2 linked regions of the Elephas maximus indicus genome follow. The protein of the gene in region 2 interacts with the protein of the main gene of each other region in a pairwise test. Links are inferred from orthologs where the notes say so. Each region holds a gene or a part of one and is shown on either strand. Other genes may lie near its edges. The genes, in order: MAPK8IP1 and LRP1.

The links.
Region 1: the proteins of LRP1 (region 2) and MAPK8IP1 interact in a two-hybrid assay, tested with the Homo sapiens proteins (2 studies listed by BioGRID). The link is inferred for Elephas maximus indicus from reciprocal best matches to the Homo sapiens genes LRP1 and MAPK8IP1.

What each region holds. Positions count from the first base shown.
Region 1 is NC_064825.1:101,360,683-101,371,509, reverse strand, and holds the start of MAPK8IP1 (C-Jun-amino-terminal kinase-interacting protein 1), read right to left. Parts: upstream 4,750-10,827; 5' UTR 4,643-4,749; coding exon 4,542-4,642; intron 1-4,541. UniProt on the Homo sapiens protein: The JNK-interacting protein (JIP) group of scaffold proteins selectively mediates JNK signaling by aggregating specific components of the MAPK cascade to form a functional JNK signaling module. Required for JNK activation in response to excitotoxic stress.
Region 2 is NC_064822.1:117,049,531-117,060,780, reverse strand, and holds the start of LRP1 (prolow-density lipoprotein receptor-related protein 1), read right to left. Parts: upstream 4,834-11,250; 5' UTR 4,436-4,833; coding exon 4,300-4,435; intron 1-4,299. UniProt on the Homo sapiens protein: Endocytic receptor involved in endocytosis and in phagocytosis of apoptotic cells. Required for early embryonic development. Involved in cellular lipid homeostasis.

The sequences.
Region 1 (10,827 bases), on a different chromosome or scaffold from region 2:
AATAAATTGAAAGATTAGATAAGAAGCTTAGGGGGCAGTGAGTCTAAGTCAAGGGTGGTAGAAAAATTCAGAGAAGGATAGTGAGAATGTTTGCACAACTTGAATGTAATTAATGTCACTGAGTTGTACATGTAGAAATTGTTGAAATGGTGTGTGACTGCGTATGTTTTCAACAAGTAAAGTTTCAAGCCCTGAAAAAAAAGAGCAGAGCCAAGGGACAGAGATGGTGTCCTAGGGTGGGTGAGAACCCCTAGGTGGGAATGCTGGCAGTGACCCAGTTTGTAGGACCCATTGAGGCCCCAAGTTGTGGGTTGTGGCCCATTCCCAGGAATCCAAGACCAACATTAAGGCTCTGGCATCAGAGAAATGAGTGAAATCCTACAACTGGGTCACCCAAGGATCACCAACCTCAAATTCGGCAGGGCCCCAAATGCCTTCATATCCTGGTCCACCAAATCTCTCATCTCCCCTAGGCCATCCCTACCCCCACTCTCGAAGGGGCTCCGGCATTATCCCGGACTCCTGCCTCTCCTCCATCCCTTATGTCCAATTTCTCACCACGTGGGTCAACTCACCTCCTGAATCTTCCTCACATCTTCTCCCCGGTCCTCTTTCTCCCCTGAGAATGACCAGTCTCCCAGCTGGCCTCCCAGCCTCCTCATCCATTCTCTACCCAGCAGCCAGAGTGATTGTCCCCAAATATCAATCTGATGCTGCTGTTCCCTGCCTAAACCCTTGCTGGCTCCCGTTGCTTGTTGGTGAAAAGGCCAGGGTCCTAACAAGGCCTACAGGTTCCCACTCACCTGGCTGGCCACACACCCACCAGGCTGGGCGTCAGACACACCCTGCCCCCACCTGCTTTCCCTGGACTCTTCACATAGGCTGCTCTCCCCTTTTCATACCCCCACCCCTTTCACACAATGCTCAGGCTCCCACCAAGCCTGAGCAGAGATCTCCCTTTCTCTGGGGAACCTCTGAACCTTCTCTTGAAACACTCAACATGACCTGACCTGCGTCATCATGGCACCCACCAGCTTGTCTGGTAAAGTCTTGTCTGTCTGTCTGTTTCCCCTCTACACCGTCACCTGTGTGATGGCCAGAGCCCATGTCTGTGCCTCTAGAGTGCCTCCCCAGTGAGCCTGGCAAAGTACAAATATTTTTGGAGAGAACAAGAACGACCAAGTACCAATAAGGAGGTCCCTGGTGACGCAGCTGAGCATTCAGCTACTAATTGAAAGGCTGGCAGTTCAAATGTACCCAGAGGCACCTTGGGAGAAAGGCCTGGCAATCTACTTCCAAAAAATCAGCCACTGAAAGCCCTACCGAGTGCAGTTCTACGCTGACTCACGTGGGGTCTGCATGAGTGGGAATGGACCTGACAGCACCTGGTGGTGGTGTCAGCTCTTGGCAGCCTCATCTCTCATCCCCAAGGCAGTGTGGTGGGCTAGCAAGAACGCCATCCAGGGAGTTCTATCCCAGCTCTGCCACTAACTTGCTGTGTGTTCTCAGGAAAGTCCTCCCCCTCTCTTGTTTCCTCATAAGTAAAAGGACTTCCCTTGGCCTAGGGTTCCCCTTCCACACACCCAATGCAGTCTGCTGACTTTACTCTCCGTGAATACCCCTTTGTCCCTGCTGTTTCTGCCCCCATGGGCCGTCCCTCCCCTTTATTCCACCTGTCCAACTCCAACTTATCCATTGTGTAAATCTTTTCGAGAATTTTTTATAGTCAACTTGTATCACTTTAATTTTAAATTTTCATTTATTATTTTGTAAGTTACAAAAGTGACCCATGCTCATTATTAAAAAAAATAGTAATAATACAGAAGTATGTAAAGTAAGAAGTGAAGATCCCTCACCTGATACCATAAACAGGAGAAACTACTAGTAATTGGTTGGAGCAGTTCTCTAATCACACACACGCCCCCAACATGTTTATTTAAAACGACCACCAACAAACAAATGTTCCCCATCCTCCTAGGTCCACATCACACTTACCCCCTCCACTGTGGAAGCTATGATGCTGAAAAGGTTTCAGCAGAACTTCCAGACTAAGAGGGACTTGAAAGAAAGGCCTGGAAATCTACTTCCAAATCAGCTGATGAAAACTGTCTGATCCGCAAGGGATGGTGGGGACGGTGCAGGACCGGGCAGCGTTTCGTTCCATGTGCATGTGGTTGTCATGACTCGTGGGGGCCAATTCAGCGCTAACAACAACACTCGTAACATTCAGGTATTGAGCCCGCATGCCTTCTGGGAGCTGACGGTGCTGCTGAGGGCCCAGACGCACGCACACACACACACACACAAAACAGCCCCACATCCATACGGCTCTTCATTGCTCTTGAAACGCTCAACATGTAGTGTCCCAACTGAGTCTTAGGGCTGCCCTGAGAAGGGGTCAAAGCAATGAAGAAGCAAAGAAGAAACAGAGGCTTGGTGGGGTTAAGTGCCCCATCTTGGGGCACTTAGCTAAGAAGGCCAAGCCAGGATTCAAACTCAGCCCAGTTGGCTCCCTCACCCCAACAAAGAGGCCCAACAGCACTAACTGCACAGGGTTAAATCGAGCTGGGCCAAGGGCTGTGAGAGGCGGGACAAGGGAAAGGGCAGCAAGGGCTGTTGGAGCAGGCGGGGCAGGCCTTGAGGGCCTGAGACACAGACCCCTATTATTCACACAAGCTGACCTTGTCTTCACAGCCAGGCCATGGTGTCCTGGAAGGCCAGGCCCACGCCTCAGCCTTATTGCATGCTGCCACCCTCGGCCCACATGGCCCGGAGCTGGACACACACTCACTGGCTGGCGTCCACCCCATCAGCTGTTTGCACTACAGCTTCGTAACAATCTGTCTGCCAGGGGGCAGGGCAGGGATGGAAAACACTGGTACCTGGGGAGCAGAGGCCGGAGGCAGGACCTGGGGGACAGCGGATACGTACACACAGACCTGGGGTCCCTTCCAGCCTCGACCTCTGCCTATCTCAGGATCCTTAGGCAAGTCACTGTGCCTTCCTGCAACTTAATGTGCTCATCTTTACAACAAGCATACCAATACTCACTCACAGGGTGGTCACTAGGGTTAAATGAGCCAACACTGGGGAAAAGCTCTGAACAGTAAGCTGCTACAGAAATGCCTCCAGACACTTATTGAGCACCGACTCGATATCCGTGGTCTCGTTTTTACGCAGGGATTAATATTAGCAGTTAGGACTTAGGACAAAAATCATACAGTTGGTGGTGCTAGAATTGGAACCAAGACCCTTGGCTCTAAGTGCAATGCTCCTCCACTGCCGAGGGGCCCCCGTCTGGGCCAGCAGTGTTTCCATGGAGGCAATGTGTGCCACGGCAGGTGGAGTCTCAGCCTGAGGCCCCACTGGTCTGAAGGCGCTAACCACAGAGCTTGGCCTTCTCCATCTGGTCCCCTTCCCTCTGGTTTTCTGGCTCAGCCCCGGGCCTCGGCTCAGCTCCGGGCCTCAGGGGAGGTTCCTGGCCCTGATGATGCCATTAGAGATCCCCAGAGGTCCTGGCCCACCTGAGGGGGCCAGGGAGCCAGCCATCTTCTGGTCAGAGGGGCTGGCGCCAGAGCCCAGCTGGGGCCCGACTGGGTTAGGGGCCCCAGGAGAGGTGGAGGCACAGGCTCATTATATGGAGAAACAATGGGATTTGCCTAAGCCCCTTCTACTAGGCTCTGGAGCAATTACACCCTCCTCTTCTTCCCAAGTGAGGTCAGGATTATGGGGGAGGGGCATCTATCCTTCCTCCCAAGAACACTCACTTCAATTCTCTGAAATCTCCCTCCTAGCGGGTAACACCAGATTGCGGGGAGGGGAGAGGAGGGTTGGAGAGGGGGAGTTCAGGTCAGGGTCTGGGTACTTATCCCAGCAAAGGCCTCCCAATGTCCCTGGCTCCTCCTAGGCCCTCCAAACCAGAACACCCTCCCAGAACTGGGCCTAGGATCCCGGGGAGGAGGGGGGGCGGTGGCAGGGAGGGCGGGGAGGGAGGAGGATTAGAGCCTACTGCTTGCCGAAGTCCACAGAGGGTCCAGGCGGAGCCAGACCTGAGAGTTGGGCCCATCTGGCCAGGCAGGTCTGGGGAGGAAGCCCCGACTCCTCCTTCCAGCACCAAGGTGGTCAGCTGCCCCAAGAAACTGGGTCTCACCGGGCACACCAGCCTACTTCCATCTCGGTTCAGAAGCCTTCGGATTGGGCACAGGCAAAGTTCCAGCCTACGTGCCTCCTCCGGGATCACAATCCAGACCTAGGTCCAGCCGCAGCCCCAAGTGGGGGCGCAGGCGGCCTCTGAGCCCCCTCCTCCAACTCCAGCTCCGGATCTCCTACCCTCGAATGTGGAATGGCGGAGGGAGCTGCACCATGAATATGCAGGGGCAGTCTGGACTGGAGGTTGAGGGGGACTTGGGGTGGGCTCCGTACAGTGAAGAGACTCCTGTGCCCAAGCCGCCCTCTCGCTCCCGGGGTCCGGTGTGTATGTGGGGGGGGGGGCAGATCTGTACCGGCTGAAGGGTGGGGCGCGCGAGACTCGGGGTTCTCACCTGAAATTGGGAGGCGACGCGATGTGCAGCCCCAGGAACGGAGAGGCGGCAGGCGGGGACGCGGTCCCCCCGCCCAGGCCGCCGCTCTCTCGCTCCGCCATTCTCGGGCCCAGCCCTGGCCATCCGGGCGGAGCGCGGAGAGGAGGAGGCGGCGGCGGCTGAGAAGGTGGTGGCGGCGGCGGCGGCGGCGGCGGCGGCGGCGGTGGCGGCGGCGGCGGCGACGGCGGCGGCGGCGAAGTAGGCGCGGCTAGGGGGCCGCCACCCGGGCTCCGGCTGGGCGGGCTCGCGGGCGCACCTGCGCAGGGCAGGGCGCGGCTCCGGACCGCGCACCGCTCGGCACTGGAGAGAGCGCCCCCGCGCGCGCCCCGGGCCCTCGCCGGGGTCTCGTGCGCCCCGCCCCCTGCCCCGCCCCCGGCACGCCGAGCCCCGCCCCGGGGCGCTCGCCGAGGTGCTGAAGTCGCCCCCCCCCCCCCCCCCCCGCTTCGGGGCCTCTGGGTTTGGCCTCGCTCCGCCCTAAGTTTGATGCTGTCCCTGTGCCCCACCACAAAGCCTCCCTGGGGGCGGGTCTAACGCCCAGGCATCATCAGGTAACTAATGACGGGCCCCTTAGTCCCCAAGGCCCTGGTTGGCTCCCCCGCAGCAGACAAAGAAGGCAGGAAAGGAAGGTCGCTGAGAAAGGAGAGAGGGTGGTGAAGAGCAGAAAGGTTTGGAGTGACGTGGCGTGAATTCCCAGTGAATAGGCGGTGGGGCGTTGCATTCGTGACTTGACAGTCCTAAGGTCTGGTTTTCTCATCTGTGAAATGGGGACATTAATACCACTCTCATGTTTATGAAAATACAACGTAATATGAATGTGTTGTCACCCGAATCCAGGCGACACCCCTCTCCTGCACTAGGATCCAGGCCTCTCCCCATTCCTGTCCCTTTACCTTGTCCCTCTCCTCCCTGAAGACTGGCCCCAGGCTCTCTTCAGCCCCAAACAGCTACTAAAGGTGAATTGAGTCCTTCCTCTTGGCTTCTCAGTCCCTCAACTTCCCCTACCTTATGTCAGGACTTGCCCAGCTTTCTCTTTCTTCCCATTTACTGCCTCAATTGCATTTCCTGCAAAGCACCTCTCTTTTGCCCCCACAAATACCCCATAGCTGGCTTCTCTCACTCTAAGACTTTGGGCCTTTCCCTCTGCTCCCACCTGTTGTCTTCCTGGGATTCCTTTGGTTAAGTTTCTGTTCCCTCCTGCACCTCTGCCCCTGCCAGGTTTGGGCTGTGGTTCCCTCCTGATCTTCTCTCCCCTCAGAGGGCTAAGCCTTGACCTGCAGGCCTTATGTTCCCTGCTTCTTTCACAGCAGAGGCTGTTTGACACTTAGGCCAAGACCACGGCCCTAGCTTTGGTGGGTCATAGAGCTTCTGGCCAAACCTCACTGGCTTCTCTAGCCAACTGAGAGAACCACACAGGTCCTGTCCTTCCCCTCCTTGGAGAAGGGGCAGACAAACTGTTTCACAGCTTGAGGAATCCTATTTGCAAATCTGGACTGCCAACTGGTCATGCTGGCCTCTTTTCTTCCAATGTAGCACCCAGAAAGGAGCTGCAAGCACTCACCTTGCAATAAACAACCTTTCAGCTATAGCCACAACATTCCAATACCTAGAACCAAAGGCCCTGGCTGCTTCTCTTCTCCTTGCCCCTGGGGCCCAGACGGGTGGCCACTTTACCTCTCCCACTATCTTGGCCCAGGCCCCTTTCCCTAGGTCTTCACGTTAAACATCTGCTGCTGTGTTGCCTGGCTTTTCCTTCCAGGAAAGCAGTCTTGCCATCATGGGTAATAATTGTTCCTTAAAGTATGTGGTTGTCTCAGCTATGGAGGATGGGAAGGTCAGGAGTGTGTGTGTGTAGGATAACTCTCTTCCAGAACCTTCTACCCAAGAACAAAGGAATCTTAGCCTCAGGGCCAAGCCAAAGCCACATTAGACAGAAACCAGGAGAAGGGAAGGACAGGCCCAAGTGTTGATGGGGAGACAGCAAGAGCTTTAAAACAAGGCCAAGAATAAGATAAGCCCCAGGGTTATGTTGCTCCATTTTCTCCCTTTCTCACTGCAGGGCAGACTGTGACATCCCTGGGCCTTCCTGAAGTCCCTTCCCACAGGGAGTTGGTATGGGGGCTACCAAAGCTCCCAGCCCAGTGGTCCAATCCAGGGCAAGTGTCCCCAGCAGGAAAGCCCATGCACACTGCACAGAAAGGGGCCACTCTCTGGCCACATGGCATGGGGGAATGCCAGCATCCAGACTCTGGGCATAGCTATGGATAGTTCTTGACCATCTACCCACACAGCTCACTGCACAGCTGCAGCTGAAGTGGTGGCACTGAGGTAAAGGATGGACTGAGGGCCTGAAGAGGGCCTGCCACCATCTTGGGTGGGGGGGCATAAGGGGCTGACAGGTAGGGTCACCACAGGACAGTACTCAGGAACCCCATCCTGCGCTGGACTGCTCAGCACCATTATGGCCAAATGACCCCAACACTGAGCACCCTGCTCTGGAGCTATCATTGGTCTGCTGGGCTGCTCACCTGGGACAAAGGAGGGGCGAGAGGCTCTGGCTCCAGCAGGATCAAGATGGTCTGGCTAAGGTCTCAGCTAGGCTCAGCCTTACCAACCCCAGTCCCCAAACCTCCCACAAAACTGACAACAGCACAGCTTTGCTTTGACAGGATCAGATGTTTATAAAACGAGTGCATGTTCACAAACAAACCGTGGGAGAAACACACCTTCCCAGCAGTAGAAAACCTCTGTATAAAGTGCATTTTGCCTGCGACCATCTCTTCCCCATGCTGGCCCTTGGATCAGGGTTTGCATCACTCTGTGGCACCCCCAGTGCTGCCCGAGCTAGAAGAGGGGAGACGTGAGGCCCCGGTGGAGCTCCAGGCCACTGGCTGTACCCTCTCCGCCCCGCCCCTCCAGCTCCAGGGGTGGACTGCCCCACCCCACTGCAAGGTTGTCCTGGGGGTGGGCCAGCATGCGAGGGAAGGTGGAGAAGCAGGGGGTGTGGTCCCGCCCGACTTGTGCCTTAGGGGAGAGAGCCACCATTAAGTCATCAGTACCATCAAACCATCCTGAGGTTTGAAGGTGCTGCTAAATAAATACTGATTTTGGCCCTAAGCCCTTGGGCATCCTCCATGTCTCAGATTAGCCCTTCCAGGCTCACTCCACTCCCCTTCAGGCAATAGCCCCTGATTCTCTTTCCTCCTGGCTGGGACTGAGGGAAGCCCTCAACCCAGTACTCTGAATACACACCAGATGTGTGCCCTACCCTCCCCACATGATTACAGGATATTTCTAGTAAAGGTGACATACAACAGTTGGACTCTAAAGGCAGCTCTCTGGCTGAGAAAACTGAGGACCTCTCAGGAAGAAGCCTGTCAACATGCTGGACAACTGCAGGAGACAGGGGCATGACCCCAGGGCTCTGGTCTGGGGACAGAAGACATCGAGGGACAGGGCAGGGGCCAAGGGCATTAACAGCTATGAGACTAGGAAAGGTCACAGGGGAGGTAGAGAGGAGAAGGCCAAGAGGCCAGCTTAATGTTACACGTGAGGACAAAAACCCAAAGAGGAATCGGCCTCTCAGCTACACAAGCACGTGTATGTACGCACGCGTGCACACACAAAGGCACACACAGACACACACACGAACTTTGTGGCCGAAGTGCAGGCCACAGCGTGGAAGGAAGACTTGCTCCAGCTGACAACACAGTCCTTTTCATTAAGTGTTTCTCAACAGAGGCCTTCGACAGTGGGAGGGGAGTGGTGGGCGGCACTGGCCATTCCCGTAATGCGAGGCTTGACTTCTCTGGGTCAAACCTCCCACCTGATGCTTCTGGAAGGGTTGGTGTGTTGGGTATGATCTCTAGTTTGACCTCTGCCAACTGCCTCTGGCAGTCCCCTGAGTCCATCTGCCTGGGTTCTTGGAGTCCAGCTACTGGGACAGCTGACATGGCAGCTTGGATGATATCCAGTGCGGGGTAGGCCCTGGAAGGCTCCAGAAGAAAGACTAGAACGGCCTCCATGGCTGGGGGTCAGCTGTCCTCACTGGTGGCACTGTGGTCTTGGAGTGGGGCCACAGGGGCTGGGGCTCTATGCCCCCAGGAACCTGGCCTCCTCATGGAGAAGGCATGTCTGCCCCTGCCCTCCCCAGCTCCTGGATAAGCTCCAGGCTGGCTCTTAGCTTCTGGGGAAGTACAGAGCTGGAATTCTCTTCCTAGCCTTGGGCTTTCAGCTCTGAAAAGGCAGCTGTGCTGGCTGAGGCTGCTACCTACAGTCTGCGTACATCCCACCAGGCAAGTATTGGGTATCCTTCCATGTGCTGGTTGGTGGGAACTTTTCAGAGCTATCATCTGTACACAGCCTTGTGCTCAGTCCCACGTACCCGAGGAAGGGTCTGGAGGACCAGAGCAGGGGCTTTTAAGATGAGAAAGGTGCCAGACCAGGTGGCTAGGTCTGGACGGCATCCATCCACTCCAGTCTGCTCAGCCTCCAGGGTCAAAATGCAGAACTTTGCAGGGCTCTGGCTGCCTCTAGAATCCCATACTCTTGACAAGAGCCAAAGATGTTGCCTTTCTGCTCCTTGGCCTGATGTGAGGAGGGTGAACTGAGGAGGCAGAAGCCAGAATCCCAGCTAAGATCCTACCACTATGTTCCACTCAGACCAGGCTGTTGGCTGGCAGGGACAGGTCTCAGCTGTGACATCTAGCCTTGTGTCTGGAGGCAGGCACAGCACTCGAGGTGAAGCGTGCTGCAGGGACTGCTCCAGCCCAGGCAGCATTCAGAGTCACAGAGTGTAAACAGACACATGCACACACAAACAGCACACCACTCCCCCTGCACAGGCGCACACAACACACGCACACACGTCTTTGCGAGCTCTGTCAGCGCCGGCTTGCCCGCAGGTTGCACTCTGCTGCCACGGTGGCTGCCCTGGCATCCAGGCTTGGCTCACGGAGCAGCGGCTCTGCAGCTGGAAGAGAAAAACAAGTGTCAAAAGAACATTTAGGAGGCTGCTCAGTTGCCCAGGGACACCAGCTCCTCTGGCTGCTTCTCTAGGGACACTCAGGCTGGGAACTGGGAAGTCCCTAAATAATGAGCTGCAAGGGCCACGGGACCAGGGATGAGGCTGTTGCTGGGATGCCACTGGACTGACTGCACACTGCCCCTCTGAAGTGCTTAGACAGGATCTGCTGTCCCCTGCAGACCCTCTGGGCCACCTCTGAGGCACAGCTGAGGGCAGCCAAGGAAGAGGAGGAAAAGGTCCCCTGAGACTCACCTGAGGCCTTTGGTGACACTTGCTCAGATATGACAAGGGCAGTGTCTCAATCAAGACACAGGGACTGTTGCCAGAAATGGAGAATCAGAAAAAAATAGCTGGAGGGGAGGCTAGCTGGGAGAAGTCATTTTGAAGAGGAAGGCAAGGACTGAGTATAGAATCAGCAGGTGAGCAAATTTCCACATACAGATAAGAGAGGCCTGGTGCAGCCCCGCAGGATGGCTGGGAGGGGGACAGGAGACACCAGATGACTCACTGGGAGATTTATAACATCCGGAATCTGGGGCAGAGGAAAGAAATGGCCTCATCCCTGATAACAGACAACAAGGTAAGCCCGTCATAATGCTGGGTGCCTATTTAAAACAGGCTTAGTGTGTCTGGGATTCTGCAGACACACAGTGCTCCATTAAAAGGTTTGTCCAGTTTAAATTTTGATGAGGCAGATAATAACATCACATCTGCTCACCGAGCCTACCGTGGGCCAAGCGCTGTACACCTGTGACCTTATTAACCCTGAAGATACGGCCTCCAATTTTATATAGGAGAAAACTGAAGTGCAGAGAGGATAAGTAACTTGCCCAAGACTAGAGCATTCGTAAGTGCCAGAGCCCATGTTTTTACAAGTAACCTCTCTCTACAGTATCACCCACTAAAGCCTTTACTGGAAAACCAAACCCAATGCTGTTGAGTTGATTCCGACTCATAGCGAACCTACATGATGGAGTAAAACTGCCCCATAGGGTTTCCAAGGAATAGCTGGTGGATTCAAACTGCTGACCTTTTTGGTTAGCAGCTGAACACTTAACTACTGGCGTCACCAGGGCTCCCTAACTCCTATAAAAACTAAAAACAAAACCCGTTGCCACCGAGTTGACTCTGACTCATAGCGACCCTGTAGGACAGAGTAGAACTGCCCCCATAGAGTTTCCAAGGACTGTCTTGTGGATTTGAACTGCCAAATTTTTGGTTAGC
Region 2 (11,250 bases):
TTAGCCCACAAAGGGTATCAAATTCCCTTCTTCCAGAAACATTCCCTCCTAAACCCATATCCAGAATCAGTATGGGGGCTGGGGGTGGGGGGAAAGGAACTTGGGAGGAAAGTAGAGAGGAAGCTTTCACTGCTGAACTTGATGCTCTGAGCTTGGCCTGGGAGAGGAAATATAACGCCAAAATGGAGAGGTAGGAGGTAGGGAGCAAGCGAGAAAGTCCAGATAAGACCCCAGTTCCTTGGTAGCTTTTGGGATACCAGGAGGCCTGAATGGAGGTAGCTAGAGACAGGCGGAGATGAATAAGGCAAGCAACAGAGACCAAGGGAGTCTGGGCACGTAGGATGAGCAATAAGAGAGATGAGCCAAGAGGGTGCGACAGAGAGGTTCTGAAAGGCAGAGACAACATAGCCAATGACAGGCAGACAGAGAGAGGCAAAAAAGCCAGGAAGGGGTCTCAGCCCAGAGGTTGCCAAGACGATAACACAGTTGTCCTGGGATGAATCCAGAGAGTGAAAACTCCCCTAAGACTCATATACCTAGCATATACCCCAGGCTGAGGAGGCAAAATCCCTGGCCTAGGAGTGCCTGACCCAGAGGAGACTCAGAATAGGTACCATAGGGGTGGGAGAGAGGGAGGAAGGGAGGAGGGCTGGAGCCCCTCGGCCTAGGAGGGACTCTCATCTCCCTGCAGAAGTCAGAGAGATGACTGCCCCCTCCATCTTTCTCAGGGTGGCCTTACACTGGGACCTGGGGCCACTGCTCCGGAAGCACTCCAGAGCCAACTGCTTCCTTCTCCAAACAATGCAGGATCCTGCTAACCCAGCTGAAATCTGGGACAGAACACGATGGGGGAGCAGGTTCCCTGAATGCTCATACCCGGTTGAGGATCTCTGCACAGCCCCACTCAACTCCACCCGAGGGTAGTGAGCCCCACATCCAGAGATGGAGAGTTTGAGGGTGTGCGAGAGGACCTTGAGAAGATAACACCGAAGGGGGATAAGCCCTAGGCCTGGGGGCTCTGAAGTGCAAAGGCTGACACTACAGCATGAGGGAAGAGAGTTAGACTTGAAGGAAGGGCTTCCCCAAGGTAAGGAAGGTGCTTTGAAGAATGGGGGATTTGGCTCTAGCCAGGGTCCTGGCTGACATCCTTAGGAGCCACAGTGATGGAGGAGTGGTTGAGGGCAAAAAAATATGGAGAAAATGGAGGGAGGAAGAGCAGGACTGGAAGAAAAGAAAAATTGTGGAGCAGTCTCAAACATCAAAATATCCCTTCAATCCCAAAATTAACAACCTATACATCCCTGCTTTGGAAAACGAGGCTGAAGGGGGATGTTCAAGGATTTGGGTCTGGTCAAGGGAAAAAGGGGCTTGGGACATCTCTCGGGGAGCCAGAAGGCTAACACCCTAGCCTCCAAACTCACTTCAACTGTACACCTTGCCTGATCACTGGTAATAAACCTGCTCAAGGGGGTTTTGGAGACAGGTAGGGAGAGAGGGTGGAAGCCGACCTTCTTCCCTATGTCTGGCTGCCTAAGCTCAGCTGGGCCCTCAATACTCTCTCTTCCCACTCCCCACCCCATCTCTTTCTCATCTTCTTCAGTAACAATTGCACTCAATTTTGTCTACTAGTGGGGAGTGGCATTGCTCCCCAGAGAGAAAGGGGTTCCAGGGGGTAGGTTCAGACCCAGAAGATAAGGCCAAAGCAAGGTGGGGAAGGCCTCCAGGACTGCTCCTATGGGGGGAAGGCAGCCAGACCTGTGACAGAAGGAGGAAGGAAGGTTAGACACTAGGTCAGGTAACCTGGGGTCAAGAGGTTTTCTTCTGTAGAAAGCAAAGGAGAAAGTTCAGTCTCTGTAGGCCTGAGGCATGAGGGCAGGAGTATGGATAAGGGGATCCTCTAGGCTACTCCTGGATAGAGTTGGACTGTGGTATAACCCACTGCTGTCAGTCGATTCCGACTCATAGCGACCCTACAGGACAGAGTAGAACTGCCCCATAGAGTTTCCAAGGAGCGCCTGGCGGATTCGAACTGCCGACCTCTGGGTTAGCAGCCATAGCACTTAACCATTACGCCACCAGGGTTTCCGACTGTGGTATGGTTCTGAGCAATTCTGAGATTCCCATCCCCCAGAGTGAGGTGGAACTGATTTTTCATATTTCCATTTCCAAGATGAGGCTATTAGTGGGTATCTGGGAAGAAGTCCTCTCCTAGGACTTTGGATAGAGTTCAGTCTGAGCAGGGAATACAGAGGGGGGCTGGGCAGGGACTTTAAGGAAGGGTAGGGTCGCTATGAGTTGGAATCGACTCGATGGCAGTGGGTTTTTTTTTTTTTAGGGAGACAGTAAGGAGAACATGTCCAGTCTCCCTCTTCTAATATCCACCAGCCAACTTGGTGTGACAAATATACCCGCTTTAGAGCCCTGTTGCTATGAGTTGGAATCGACTTGATGGCAACAGGTCTGGTTTTGGATTCAGAGCCCTGGGAGTGAAGCTACCTAGGGCCCTTCCTGGCTGGGCCAGGGACCTTTTTGTGCTTTCCACAGAGACTCCCTTGCTTCGGCCCAACTCCATCCACCCTCCGTAACAGGACTTCTGATGTGTCTGTCTCTCTTTCTTAAAAAAAAAAAAAAAAAATGTTTTTTCCACCCATTCCCAGACACTCCTGCACCCAAATCCCTTTACCTCAGTTTGTCCCTGTGGGGTGCCACAGGGCTGTGAACAAGAGAAAAGAACAGGCATGAAGGAGGGAGTCCTGAGTAGGGGCTGGCACTCGTCTGCAGGGTATTCAGGGCACAGCCTCTTCCCTTCTCTTGGGCACATAATTGAGGTAGATGGGGTGGGGGGGAGCAGACAGACAGTCCCCAAGATGGCATAATTGAGGGCCACTGAATATACCCTTCTTTCTTTGCACAGCTGCTTCCTGGCCCCAGGAACTGATGAAAATTGGGGGGAGGGGAGGAGAGGGAGAGATAATCTGGTTTTAGAGAAAAACTTTCCCAATCCCAACCTGGCAAAATTTAAAAGATGGAGGAGGGGGTGAGTGGGGGAAAGAAGGGCTGTTTCTAGTTACAGGCAGATACTGGGCCCAGTTTCATCCCTGGATGAGGGGGCTAAGATGCCAGGAAGGGATGTGAGTCCATCCTTTCTCAAATCAGGGGCCCAGCCCAGCCCCATGGTCCCAGCTGAAAGCTTGGGCAAGACTTGAACCAGTGACTCACAAGTAAGAGAAAAAAACAGCTGGCAGAAAAAGGGGAGGGGTAACTCCCTTTTCCCTAAGGAACACAGTTCTAGCTTAAGCCTAACTCTCTGTACTATACAAAGTGTGTGTGTATGGGAGGCAGAGAAGTAAATAAACACATTTACCAAAGGACAGGGAATTAGAGGGTGGGGGATAGCCGTAAACCCCACCCAATCTCCAACTCTCCTTCTAGTGCAAACTGTGATCAAGCAGAAGTCAGGAAGAAAGCAGCCTTGCAACACCCCCCCCCCCACCCCCCGCACTCCAGGCCATTCTCTAGTCCCCTTCCCCAATGATGACATCTGACTTTTTTTTTTTTTTCCATCTCAACGCTCCCAGGAATTATTAAAGAAAATTCAGTCACATAGCATCGCCTGCCCCCCCACTCCGCCCCCCAACACAGCCCTACCCAGGCTACTGACAGAGGCCCTGAGAGGGGGAAGTGCTGAATCCAGAACCCAGGAGGGTAGGTAGCCCGTTGGATCCTGGACCCAGGCCTCCATGCCTGGGCTCTGGGGCCCAGATTCCACACCCAAGCAGGGGGCCTTCCCCGTGGTCCTCCCTCTCCCCACCCACAGCTTTCCTGGGCCTGCTAGCCCTCTGCCCAGCAGGACGCCCCTGGCCCAGATCCCCGGTGAGCTTCAGAGGCCACTGCAGAAGGTCCCCCGCCCCCTTTTGCTGCCGTATATCGCAAATCCGAATTCCTTCACAATTCAAATGGGGGGGGGGTGTATGAAGGAGAGGTGGAGGCCCTCCCCGACCAGAGATAGAAAGAGAAGGCCTCTCGATCCCAGGATCAGAAAGGGGGAGCCCTCTTCTCCCTATCCAGGCCTATGGCCTTTGTCTGGCCTGGGGGGTCCTGGAAGCATCATTTGCCTAGGGCCCCCATCCCCCAAATCAGACCCCCATCGGTGTCCCCAGTGGGGCCGCTGCTGTGTCAGCTGGACTGGGATAACAAAAGGCACCCCCTCCCGCGTCTCCCTTCCCCATCCGTACGCAGGAACGGGGGCTGGGGAGGGGGTGTCCCCAGGGGTCCCGGGGGCCGCGGAATCTCACTCACCGTCGATAGCCGCCGTGACCAGAGCTGAGAGCAGGGGCAGCAGCAGCAGCCACGGCGGGGTCAGCATGGTGCGGGCTGATGTAGGCAGCAGCCCCCTCCCCTCCGGTCCTGCTACTTCTCGCCTTCGCCCCCCCATTTGGGGGGTCCCCCTTTTTCCTCCTTTCCCCCCCTCCTCTATTCTTATTCTTTCCTTCGGCCAAGCTCACCAGGGGTGTGGGTGAAGAGGCAGAGTTCGGAGCCCCTTAGAGAGGGCCTGCTGACGGGGGTGCGCCCAGTGCCCCCAAATCCAAACCCTTCACCCACTGCTTTTCTCCTCGCTCCTCTCTCCCCCTCCCCGGGCAAGCTCACAGCCCCATCTGAGAGCCGCCTCCGGCTGCAAAAATGCACAATTGGGAGGAGGCGGGGGTGGGGTGGGGGGCGTGGACCGGGTGGGGGAGCCTTTGGAAGGGGTCTGATGGAGCTCTGGGGGCTCCCCTCGTTTCCGCCTCCTCAGTGCACTGGCCGGGAGCTCGAACCGCTGTTCCCCGGCCTGAGGTGCAGCGGGGGGGGGCCAAGGGGGAGAGGGAGGGGACGTGGAGAAGAGGGAGGGAGGGAAGGGGCGGGGAAAGAAAAGGGGGGGGGAAGAGCTACGCGGCAATCCGGTTAGTGCGCATGCGCGGGTTTGGCGAGCTGCCCTGGGGTGGGGGCTCCATAGGAGCAGCAAGACTTGGAACTCTGAGAAGCGGACGGAGCGTAGGGGTCCCGGGGCCAGCTAGCCGGCTTGGGGTCCACAGCGCCCTCTCTCCTAACAGAGCGCGCCCCTGCGGAGAGCTGGACGGGCGGAGGGGGGATTGGGCAGTGGGCGAAGAGAACGGCTTGTCTTTGAAACTCGGTGTCGTGCCCTAGGATTTCAGGCTCCCTCTTGGGGGGTCCAATATCCCGTGGTCTGGGGCGAGGCCGGATTTCCTCGGGGAACCCGGCCTGTGCCTTCTCAGCTTGGGGTGGGGGTAGGGGTGGGGGTGGGGGCGGGGGTGGGGGCGGGGGTGGGGGTGGGGGTGGGTGTTGGGGCCTCCAATCCTCGGGGAAGGTACGGGGACAGACTGAGCTTTGATTTGGAGACTTTCTAAACCGGTGACTGGGATTGGGGCCTGCAGCGGAGGGGGCGGGGTGGGGGAGGGGCCGCCCCCACTCGCTCCCGGGTTTGGAGTAAACAGGGACACCCGCGGGGACACGCCAGAGCTTGTCCATTCACCTAGGGCTCCGGGATGGAGCCCACCTCAAGTCCCGCTCCGCCTTGCTTGCCTGGCACCGGGCGCCGGAGGGGCAGGCCCTGGTTTGGAGGGAGGTGAGTCACTAGCGGGTGGGGTTGAGGAAGGGCCACCCCCCCTTGCCCCAAGATATGGGGGCTCGTTTATTTTTTTGTTTTTATACCTTTGGGCTGGGTTCTCACCAAATCGGGGTTTTAGATTCTGAGCAGCAGAGATTTGGAGTAAGATGAAGAACTCTGGACCTCCAATTCCAGGCCTCGGGGTGCCTGCTGAGGGCTGGACCTTTGTCCCGGCCCTGATCCCTTACGGGAATGCTACTTTGAGTCCAGAAGGCGCCAGGCGGTTCCCAGAGCCCGGCGAATGTGCTTCTGGCCACCGCCCCCTTCTGGGCGATGTTTAAAGCTGTGGTGTCTGACTTTCTGGGTGTCTGGAAGTCAGGGTTCAGGGACCTAGGGCAGGCGACTTGGACTGCCAGAAACTGACTTTAGAGATAAGGGACATTGGACCACCCATCTTCCTAAAATTCTAGTCAAGGAAGGGCCCCAAACCCCCACTCCAATCTGCCCCTGGCTGAAAAGTGAGCATCGTGGAGGACTTGGCTGTTAATGACAGTGGGAGGGAGTGAGAATCTCGACTTTTCCCCCAAGCCTGTGCTGCTTCTGGGCTTGCTTGGCTCGGCCATCCTCACCCGTCTTTAGTCACCTAGGCTAGAAGCCTCAAAATTATTGCCAACTTCTCAGGGCCTTTCTTACATCCAATTGTGCAAGCCTATGTTCAAGGCCTGTCATTTTTCCCTTTGAAATCTATCTATGATTTCCTCCATTTCCACTTCCAGACAAAGTTTTTCTGGGTAGAGGTGGGGTCTTACCTATCCTTTTATCCAGCCCTCATGGCCCAGCGCTGTGCCAGGCACACGGCAGGGACTAACTAAATGTTATTAATGAATACCTGCTAGGTTCCTTCCTCTGCCAGGGCCCCTACCAATATTGTCATCCAAGTGAAATTAGGTTAAAATAGGCTTCAGGCAGCTTTGAAAGTAAAAAGATACCTGGAGTGACCATAGGTAGCCCCAGGGGGCTGTGAGAGGGCAGTCTCATTCCCCCTCCCCTCTGTCAGTCTTCCTAAAATTCTGCTTTCCTGTCTCTCTTCCTTGTTGGTAAACTTCTGCTGGGTATCTGTAGACAACTAAACCAAATGTGAACTTTTCTCCCAGACAGTCATGGTGTAAAACCTGGCCTTGGCCAGCCTGTAAGACTTTTCACTTTTTACCTCCCAACGTACCCCAACTGCCATCTCCTGAATGTGAATGTGTATTCATTTTTATGAACTTTATGTTGTGAAAAAGAATGCATGCTTCACTATTCACAAAAGGTGAATGTCCATCCAGAGATAGATGAATGAATAAACAAAATGTGCTGTATATATATACAATGGAATACTACTCAGCTATAAAGGAAAATAAAATCTTGACACATATTACAACTTGGATGAACTTTGAAAATGTACTGAGTGAAATATATCAGTCACAGAAGGACAAATATTGTATGGTCCCACTTATATGAAGCAGGCAAATATATAGAGACCAAAGTTTGTTGGTGGTTACCAGGGGTGGGAGTAAAGATTGGAGGTGGATCCATTTCTTAGGGGACACTGAGTTTCTGTTCATGGCAGTGGAGTAATTTGGAAAAGGATAGTGGTGATGGTCATACAGCATAATGAACAAAATCAATGTCACTGAATTGTACATGTAAAAATTGTTGAATTGCCAAATGTTTTGTTATATATTTTTTTACCACAATTTAAAGATATAATACATGCTTAGTGGTTAGAACAACCCAGAGCATAGAAGGGTACAAGGTGAAGAGTAAACTTGCTGCTTTCCACATTACCATTCTTGAGCCCCACCCTCAGAGTAACCACTACTAACAGTTCCCTGGGTATCCTTCCAGGAGTTTTTAAATATATATATAAATGAATATCCTTAAAATAATACAAATGAATTCATACAATATATACTGTTCTGTAACTTGCTTTTTCAACAAACTTATCTTGGTCCCTTTACACATAGTATGTATATGTCTTTCATACTATTTATATCTGCTATTTGGAATCTGGAAACCCTGGTTGCATAGTGGTTAAAATGCTATGGCTGCTAACCTAAAGGTCGGCAGTTCAAATCCTCCAGGTGCTCCTTGGAAACTCTATGGGGCAGTTCTACTCTCTCCTGTAGGGTCACTATGAGTTAGAATCGACTTGATGGCAATGAGTTTGTTTTTTTTTTTTTTTAATTTGGAATCTGCTTACTTGGGTACCCCAATCTATTGAGATTGGTTGGCATTTGGGTAATTTCCAGTATGTGAAGTGCTGAGGTGTCTCTGTGAGATGAGAGAATGCATATTTCTACCTGAGCCTTTAATTATACTGTTTCCCCAGCTTCCCCTCAGAAAAGCTCTCTTGTTATTCTCGCTCTGCCCATCTATTGTTTTTCAAACTTGCTCTCAAGATAGCCTGAGTACTCAGAGTTTAGCACTTAATTATGTGTGTCCTATATCCACCACCAAAGTATAAACTTCTCGAGGACAGGGACCATGTCTTTACTTCTTGGTATCCACTCAGTGTTAGGAGTTCTTGACTGATCCGTGGGGAGCCTGTCAAGAGTGTTAGAACTAGGGGCACCTGCCCTGGTAGAGGAGACAGCCATTAATAACTATTGTCGAATAGGGTATGACTGGAAACCCTGGTGGTGTAGTGGTTAAGTGCTACGGCTGCTAACCAAGAGGTCGGCAGTTTGAATCCACCAGGTGCTTCTTGGAAACTCTATGGGGCAGTTCTACTCTGTCCTATAGGGTCACCGTGAGTCAGAATCGACTCGACGGCAGTGGGTGGTGGGTAGGGTATGACTGTAAGCATTTTGCTTCCTCATGTTTTCCTATAGCACTCATCTTTCAATTCCTCTCTGCCTTAGTTTCTTCTCTTTCTCCCCACTTCTATTCTTAAGAAACTTTTCCTTTTATCTTCAAACCCTTGGGTTAGATTATACAGAAAATAATGGGATATCAGGGAAGAATTCTCTGCAATCCATAATCAGGATACCTAGAATGGTGGCAGTGGGCAAAGAAGTTGATGTGGGAAGAGGATATCTCCTTTTTTTTGGATCCTTCAGCAAATTTTTCAGCAAATTATTAAACATCCCCCTTTCTTCATTGAGGAAACCCTGGGTTGGTAGTAGTTAAGAGCTTGGCTGCTAAGCAAAAGGTCAGCAGTTCAAATTCACTAGCTGCTCCTTGGAACCTTATGGGGCAGTTCTACTCTGCCCTGGAGGGTCGCTGTGAGTTGGAATCCACTGGATGGCAATGGGCTTGGTTTTTTTTTTGTTGTTGTTTTTTTCTTCTTCATTGAGTGTAACATTGCCTGGGATGGGGCATTAATAGGGCAGCTCTGGGAGTGTCAGGCCAGACTGTCACCACCTAGTGGTCAGTTAGAGAAGTGTGATTAGGAAGGCGTATCTCTGAAGGATCTGGTAGAAGGTGGGGAGAGAAAAGAGAATGAAGATTTATTGAATGGTTACCATGTGCCAGGCCCATATAATAGATTTTACATGGAAACCCTGGTGGCATAGTGGTTAAGAGCTATGGCTGCTAACCGAAAGGTCGGCAGTTCGAATCCACCAGACGCTCCTTGGAAACTCTGTGAGGCAGTTCTACTCTGTCCTACGGGGTCGCTATGAGTAGGAAGCGACTCAGCAGCAATAGGTTAGTATGGGTGAGTTAGCTCACTGAAGTCTCAAAGCCACCTTGTGACATAGGTGTTATTTCCAGTTCGTAGATAAGGAAATAGAAGTTCAGAGAGATTAAGGAATCTGCCCCAAATCACAGTGCAGATTTGAGCCCAGGTTTCATTCATTTAAGAAACATTTATTAGGTACCCCGGATGTGCCAGGAGGCACTAGGGATATGAGATGGAAACACAGTCTCAGCCTTCAAGAAGCTTACAGGATAGTGGGGTTGCTCTATAAAAAAAGGTGATTGACAATTACACTAAGTGCCCTAATGTCTATGTTAAAGGCATGCATGAGACCCATGGGAATCAGGGAAGCACACCTATTCCAGATAAGGGGATCAGGGCAGAGCATGGCAGATGATGCCGGGGTAAAGGTTGAAAGGGAGGAAGGAAATAAAAAAGGAGGAAGGAAACAGCAAGTGAAAACAGAAGGAAAGGGTGTTTTAAGCAGGAGGGCAGGCAAAGATACGGAAGCATGAGGAAGCTTAAAACATTTGAGGAACTGCAAATATGGTATGGCTGAAGTTTAACATACTTATTGGAGAGGATGATGGATGAAGTGTCAGGGACCCTAATCACAAAGGGCCTTGTGTGCTAAACTAAGGACTTAACATTTTTTTCTAGAAGTAGTGGGGAGCCAGGTGAGAAATCGATGTCTTTAAAAATTCTTGCATCAGTGATAGAGTTGGAGAGGAAGAGAAGGATTCTATAGACACTAAGGAGGGTAGGATCAGGTATACCATTTGGTTTTTCATTTGTGCCTAGAGCGGAGTGACAGAGAAAGGTTTAAAACTTTGGCTCACATTAGAATGTTCTCAGAGTTCTCAAACTTTGGCTGCACCTTAGAGTCACCTGGGGAGCTTTTAAAAATCCCAGTGCTTGATTAGGTAGTAGATAAGAACTACTTTAGGTGAAGGGAAGGATAATACTCAATACACAGAAGGTCGGCTCAACTGGACTGGACCAAAAGCAAAGAAGTTTCCGGGATAAACTGAATGCTTTGAAGGTCAGCAGAACAAGGGCGGGGGTTTGGGGACTATGGCTTAAGGGGACTTCTAAGTCAATTGGCAAAATAATACTATTATGAAAACATTCTGCATCCCACTTTGAAGTGTGGCATCTGGGGTCTTAAATGCTAACAAGCGGCCATCTAAGATGCATCAATTGGTCTCAACCCACCTGGATCAAAGGAGAATGAAGAACACCAAGGTCACACGATAACTATGAGCCCAAGAGACAGAAAGGGCCACATGAACTAGAGACTTACATTATCCTGAGACCAGAAGAACTAGATGGTGTCCGGCCACAACCGATGACTGCCCTGACAGGGAACACAACAGAGAACCCCTGAGGGAGCAGGAGAACGGTGGGATGCAGACCTCAAATTCTCATAAAAAGACCAGACTTAATGGTCTGACTGAGACTAGAGGAATCCAGGTGGTCATGGTCCCCAAACCTTCTGTTGGCCCAGGACAGGAACCATTCCTGAAGACAACTCATCAGACATGGAAGGGGATGGACAATGGGTAGGAGAGAGATGCTGATGAAGAGTGAGCTACTTGTATCAGGTGGACACTTGAGACTGTGTTGGCATCTCCTGTCTGGAGGGGAGATAGGAGGGTAGAGAGGGTTAGAAACTGGCAAAACAGTCACAAAAGGAGAGACTGGAAGGAGGGAGCGGGCTGACTCATTAGGGGAAGAGTAAGTGGGAGTATGTAGTAAGGTGTATATAAATTTATATGTGAGAGACTGACTTGATTTGTAAACTTTCACTCAAAGCACAATAAAAATTATATTAAAAAAAAAAATCCCAGTGCTGGAGAACTTATACTAGTTGACTTTAAGACTTGTAAGCTACAGTAAGCAGGACGGTGTGGTACTGGCATAAGAATTCACAGATCCCTGGAACAGAATAGAGAACTAG